Linked DNA regions of Mus musculus. The protein of the gene in region 1 interacts with the protein of each later gene in a biochemical or structural test. Links are inferred from orthologs where the notes say so. Each region holds a gene or a part of one and is shown in the gene's direction. Other genes may lie near its edges. The genes, in order: Aurka and Incenp.

Region 1 (2,760 bases):
TAGGAAAGGAAAGCCCTAGAAAGGGAGAGTCTATAAATGAAGGCGGCAGCCGTGTACCTCAGGGGACGTCCTGGGTTCTGTAGTCCTGTTTGGCTGTTTGGTTTAGGGGTCTAAAGATTTTATTTTTATTTTACAACGTATGGGTATTTTGCCTGCATGCCTGTCTGTGCACATGGATGCTTAGTGTCCAAGGAGGCTAGAAAAAGAATTGTCAGCTGTGGGCTTGAGTTACAGATGGTTGTGAGCCACCATGGGGTGCCGAGAACTGAATCCAGGCCCTCTGCTAAAGCCTCCCATGCTCTCCACAGCAGAGCCATCCCTCCAGTATCTTGCTATGCAGCCCAGACTCCACTCCAAGCAGGCATTCTCTGGCCCCAGCCCTCTGGCTGCTGCTGGGATCACAGGCGTGAGCCATCACACCCGACTAAGATCTGTTTTTAAGACAGTCTTACCAGACTGATCTGGAACTCAATATCCTTCCCTCTCCACCTCTCAGGTGCTGGGATTAAAAGATAAACCAGCACACAGGGCTTGGTTATGTTTCCCTCTTACCGTCCACACAGGTGTGTGTGCTTGCTCATAGCTGCTTTTACTTAAAGTACCGACTTTAAAGCAGCTATAAGATTTCATGAACAGAGCCGGGCAGTAGTGGTACATGCCTTTATTCCCAGCACTCAGGAGGCAGAGGCAGGCCTGGTCTACAAAGTGAGTTCCAGGACAGCCAGGGCTATACAGAGAAACCCTGTCTCAAAAAAACCTAAAAAAAAAAAAAGATTTCATGAACAGCCGTAGACGTGAGTTGGATGGGTCTGGGGGAAGTTTGGTGGCTCCATGCTTCCCCCTGACCATTTAGGTGGGCACCTGTCTGAGCGCGCTGGCCTGCCATAGTGAGCGCTCATCACATCACCACATGGTATGTCTGTGTGTCAACCCCAGTCTCCGTTTGGTTTAGGAGAACCACAATGTGTGGCACCCTGGACTACCTGCCCCCAGAGATGATTGAAGGCCGGATGCATGACGAGAAGGTGGACCTCTGGAGCCTCGGCGTTCTCTGCTATGAGTTCCTAGTGGGGATGCCTCCTTTCGAGGCACACACGTACCAGGAGACTTACAGAAGGATATCTCGGGTGAGCTGCTGCTGTCAGGCTTCTGCCGAGGGCTGGTGTTTTGTTTATTCATGTTCACCTCTGACCCATGCTTGTGTTGGTTTATCATTTATTCTGCAGGTTGAATTCACTTTCCCTGACTTTGTGACAGAGGGAGCCAGGGACCTCATTTCAAGACTGTTAAAACACAACGCAAGCCAAAGGCTAACACTAGCGGAAGTCCTTGAGCACCCTTGGATCAAAGCTAATTCTTCCAAACCTCCAACTGGCCACACTAGCAAAGAGCCAACCAGCAAATCATCTTAGGGAATCCTGAACCACGGCCACCGTGCAACTGTGAGAAACACCCTATTGAAGCCACCCTCCTGGACCCTCATGGCTGCCCTCAGGGTGCCTTGCTGAGCAACTAGTCCTTGGCCATGCATCCAGGAAACCCCAAGAACCATGCTGCTTTTCCTGATTTAGTAATCTGGAGGGAAGGTTCCACTGCAGCTGTCCCCTACCCTCACCCTGGGCCTGTGCCCCAAGGTGTCCTTGTGGGGGGGGGGGTCTCACTGTGGGAAACTTACCAGAGATCACCTGTGTCGTAGCCTTCAAGTGCCAGAGTGTGTGTATAACTTATTGGGTCACCAGGCCTAGGGAAACTGTTGGAATGGGTATGTAATCTTTTAAATGTCAAAATAAAGATTTGCATAGACTTTGACTTTTAAGTGACACCCATTCAGGGTCTTGTTTCCAGTCGTCTGAAGCCCGTGCGGGATTTGGATCCTCAGCCACTGCTACGGAGCCTGTGCCTTGTCTTGAGACCTGACTCGGGGGTTTCTTTTTCTGCATGTTAAAGGCTATTTTTTATGTTGGAGTTCTGTCATGTATGCAAACTTGTTAAATATATATGTATACCATCTACCTGGAGTACGTGGGTAATCATTTGAGTATCTCTTCACTGTTGGCTAGCCATGAGCGACTGGTGTTTTTCTGGCCTGCTGGATAGTGGCCAGTGCCATCTGTCCATCAACCAGAGGGGGAACTTGGAATTAGAGAAACAGGCTTTCATGGCCAACTGGACCACCATCAGGAACTTGAGAACATGCCTGAGTGGAAGTCTATCCTCTTGGGACAAGAGGCCTCTAGTCATCCGTCCTGTGCTAAGGCTTTGTTGAAGTAGCAATATTGCTAGTACTGTCCACCCAAGCTGCAGTTAAGTGAGATGCAATCCAGGGAGGCAAACTGAGCACGGGACACTGCCTCCTCTAGCTCCGGCTAGTTTGTGACTATCCTACATGCAGAGGAGTGCCACATTCCCATGGCGCTCTTCCTGGCGGCAGTGATGGCTTACCAGACGGCAGACCGCAGACTTTTACAAAGGCTTTTATTTGTTTCAGACTGTAAGCCATTCACTTGGTCTGCTTAAGAAACTAGAGACACACAATGGCTTACATCTTAAAGTGGTTTCCTGGCTCCTGGTCTACTTAAAGATCACATAGGCAGGAGCAGCTCTGTGCGCCTTGCTGGCTTATACGGTGCTTTAGTTGCTTCACCTCAACTCTTGCTGTGTTCTGGCTGCTGGGTAGAGGCCTGAGAGCGGGGCTAGGTTTGGAAGATCCGTGGCTGTGGGTAGGAGCAGTTTTATTGCTGCTTTTAATGTGTTTCTTTG
Region 2 (3,919 bases), on another chromosome or scaffold:
TGCTAGTGGAAGATTGACTTCCAGGCACCAAGGGTGAGAGTGTTAAGTCCACACCCACAGTGACACACCTACTCCAACTAGGTCACACCTCCAAATGGCGCCACTCCCTAGACCAAGAATATACAAACCATTACAGGTGGGATCAACAAAACCCTACAATGGTGTCTGCCTGCAAGGTATGTTGGGGCAATAGTGGCACAAACCTGTGGCAGTAACCAACCAATATCTGATTTGACCTAAGGCCCACTCCACAAGATCGAATCCTGCTTGGGTGAACAACAATCTGAGACAAGATAGCTCAGGGACCTAGGGTTAAACTAAATACTACTGTTCTACTAAAGGAACATAGCAATAAAATGACTCCTAGTGATTGACATTCTGCTACACTCAGATCATTGCCTTGCTCAGCCATCATCAGAGAAGCTTCCTCCTGAAGCAGATAGGAACAAATACAGAGACTCACAGCCAGACAGAGTTTGCACAGCTCTGCATCAGGTTCTTGCATATATGTTATGGCTTCCAGTGCTTTTATGGAATTCCCGAGTGTTCGAACAAGTGGGTCTCTGGTCTTTGTGCCTTCTCTTGGGGCTTTTTTTCTTTGTTTCATCCAATTCAGATATGATAGGTTTTGTATTATCTTATGTTTTACATCTTAGTTTATTATTATCCCTTAGAAGTCTGTTTTGAAAGGGAGTGGATACAGATGGAAGGGGAGGTTAGAACTGGGAGGAGCAGAGGGAGGGGAACTGTATCAGGATATAGTATGTGAGTAAAGAAATCTATTTTCAATAAAAGGAAAAACAATTTAAAAATAAATAAAACCCCTCTGTTTAATCTGTCCAGGGACATTTGTAGTTTCGCCCACCTCTTGGCTACTGAGAATGATTCTATAAAGAAGGTGGAGGTGTTTTATTTTACAGGTGGTGGTGACACACCTTCAACTCAAGACTTTACCTTTATATGTGGCCAGAAAAATTCTCCGTTGTATGTGGCGTCCAATCTGGAGGGTACTTAGCAAACACTTCCGGGTGACAATCGGAGGTCTAAGGAAACATTCTGTAACTATATGCCTGACTGCTCTTGGAGGGAAGGCTCTGTGAGATTTGCAATGTGTTTCTTTTTACTACTGCAAAGTAGCAGAGCTGTCATTCCGAACGCAGAAGCATTCCGGACTTGAAACGAACCAAGCGGCTGGCTCGAAGATAAATAGGCATCCTCCCCAACCAAGCCTGCCTTCGCAGTGCACGCAGGGACTTGTAATTCGTCGCAACCACTTCCTCGCCGGGTAGATTGCCGCAGCTTCCGGAAGTTGGGGCGTGTTAAAAGCGTCAACGTTCTTCTCCCCGCCTCCTAGTCCCACAGATTGACAGCACTAACAGCCAGCAGATAAGCGGACTCGTGCGTCCTGTTACGTGATTGGTTTGGAGTTTTGTAACCGCCCAGACAAACTTAAGGGGAATTGGTTGAGCCACAATTTTGAAAATCGTAGATTCGCCCGCGCTCTTCGCCCGGTAGGTCCTCGCCTGCGGCGAGCTCGCGGTACTGGGAGTCCAGCCGGTCCGGCGTGGCGGGAAGCTTAATCTGCGGAAGCCGCGGACTGGAAAAGGAGTGGTCCGGGAAGACGCGGCGCCGCCGGGTGAGTGAGAACGGGCGTCGGGAGTCGCAGGGTCGCGGTGTTCGGCCACTGGTCCCGGCCTCTTCGCTTCCCAGGATGGGCCAGGGGAGTCACTTTCGCCTATGGGTTGCTTATGGGTGTGGGGATCACTTCCAATGGTTCTAGGCTTGGAGATGAACTTCGAGGCCCTGCACTTGAGTCCTGGGATCCGAGAATGGTCAGTCCTCTTCCCCGCACGCCGGGCCTAACACCTGTGCAGAGCCTGGGCTGCTCTGTAAACCCGGACTTGAGTCTTTTTATGGCAACGGCTGCTCAGCTTCGTCCCAGCTGAGCAGCATTTAAAAACTGACCCAGCTCCGGAGACCGCCCTGCTACTTATTTTGTCATCCCCGCAAGCGTAGGCTCTTGTCAGCGGCGCAGTTCCCTCCAGCTTCCTGCTGCCAAGCGTTGGGATTGTGTCATTCTGAGCTTGAAACTATTGTCCTGGAGGCCTGTGGCTAGTGGTTAAAAAACATTTTAAATCCAGGCTCCGCCCTCCGATTTTCTTGGTGACTTTGACCTAGATTTGTATGTGCATGGGTATCTTGGAGTATGTGGCAAAAAGGAATTGAGAGGTTTCTTGGCATGGAGTAGGACTCTTGAGTGGAAGAGCAGTTTTAGCGATCGATCTTCCTGCTTGGAGGGGTGTGTGTGGGGAGAAATGCTTAGTTCATTTCCTGCACCCCCAGAGGAGATGGCAATTGCTAATCTGCTGAATGGCACAGAAATAGTATTTGTGGAGAGGAAGTGACCTTCCTTCTCCCATGGTAGGGTTTGTTTATTTCGTGGACTGAAGGTGAAGTTACCCAGGAGTCTGATTCTTGTTACACCTCCTCCTTTCCTCAGAGTCACCTTTTCTAACTTTTCAGCGAGGGCTTGCTAGAAAGCACATTTCCCCATGGAAGAAGAAGTGTGGTATTGGACTTGGTGAAAGAAGCGCTCACTCCGATTGTAGCATGAGCAGACATTTTGTAAAATTTCCCATTTGTTACTTTCTTATAGCTCCTCTGCAAGTCTTTGGAGTCCTTGTGCAGTTTTCTCTTCTCTTTGCTGGCCTTGAACTGATGAGGCCTTGGACTTGGCTAGGGCTGTTTTCTGGTGCAGGGGGATAGGGAGACTCAGTGGAGAGGCCATGCTGATGAGTAGCTGGCTGCACAGTTAATGCTTTTTCCTAAAGGCTCAGTGCCCCTATCCATTCGGTTTTGCCCCAGTTAGTGCTGCCTTTGGCCGTTAGGTCAGGGTGTGTTTTGGCCTGTTCTAACATGTGCCTACTGAGTTGCTCACTGAGTGTCCCAGTGTGTGATGGTGAGACAACCTTTAGGATTAGTTGATGGATGAATGAATTCATTCCACAAGTGCCAGACTCTTTTGTTGCTGAGGAAGGCACAAGGCTTACCCTCAGAGAGCAGGTTAGTGGGTAGAGGCCAGCAGTAGGCAAACATAAACAATCACTCATTTGCTGTGCACATAGCTGGAATCTGTGTGTGAGATCTTGGCTTGGATTGGAGGTCTGATCCTCCTTAAGGAGCTGAAAGCTAAGTGAAGAAGCTGTACAAAACAGGAGACAGAGTTCCTAGAGGCCAGAACTTGTTTGAAGGGCAAAAGGGTAGTGTGCCTCATACATCAGGCTGAAGAACTTCAAGGAAGAACCTAGAGGCCACAGTATATGATGGCATTATGTTCCAAGAGGATCAGTAATATAGCCCTTTCTTCCCTGACCTTTTTCTGTAGCTGAGAGGCTGAAGTGTGTATGCATGCTTCTTGCTTTTGAAAGTGTAAGTCATGGTGGGAACTTCCTGTCCTTATATAAGGTGGGATCCGATATATTAGTGCTCATAGCTGCCACCCACTCTTGATCTTTCATGTGTTTACCACTTGGGGTACTGCTTATCGGGGGCCCTGATATGACAGTATCAGAATCCTCCCACTTAGTGTAGGACCTTTGTTAGGATTATATAGTCAGGTCGTACGGCAGATATCCAAGCTCCCAGCTTTTTAAGGCAGTGGGTAAACTGGCACTGCATTGTCTTTTGCCTGGTATTGACAGCCAGGTCTTCCTGAAAGCAGCACATTGCATGCGCACTCACTTCGCTCTCCCTCATCCATTCATAGGACATTTTGGCTTTAGGGAGGGTTTCAGAGGTCTCTTTGGAGAACATGGTTCTGGACCCCTCATTTCTTATGCATTCCTGTGGAATGTATAGCACATTTCCATCTACTGACTCCCCCCCCCCCGCCCCCAAATTAAAGACAGGGTCTCATGTA

Evidence for each region.
Region 2: the proteins of Aurka (region 1) and Incenp form a complex in vitro, tested with the Homo sapiens proteins (3 studies listed by BioGRID and IntAct, with this or other methods). The link is inferred for Mus musculus from reciprocal best matches to the Homo sapiens genes AURKA and INCENP.

Annotation. Positions count from the first base shown.
Region 1 is NC_000068.7:172,355,448-172,358,207, reverse strand, and holds the end of Aurka (aurora kinase A), read left to right. Parts: intron 1-952; coding exon 953-1,127; intron 1,128-1,226; coding exon 1,227-1,412; 3' UTR 1,413-2,018; downstream 2,019-2,760. UniProt on the Homo sapiens protein: Mitotic serine/threonine kinase that contributes to the regulation of cell cycle progression.
Region 2 is NC_000085.6:9,897,056-9,900,974, reverse strand, and holds the start of Incenp (inner centromere protein), read left to right. Parts: upstream 1-1,485; 5' UTR 1,486-1,636; intron 1,637-3,919. UniProt on the Homo sapiens protein: Component of the chromosomal passenger complex (CPC), a complex that acts as a key regulator of mitosis.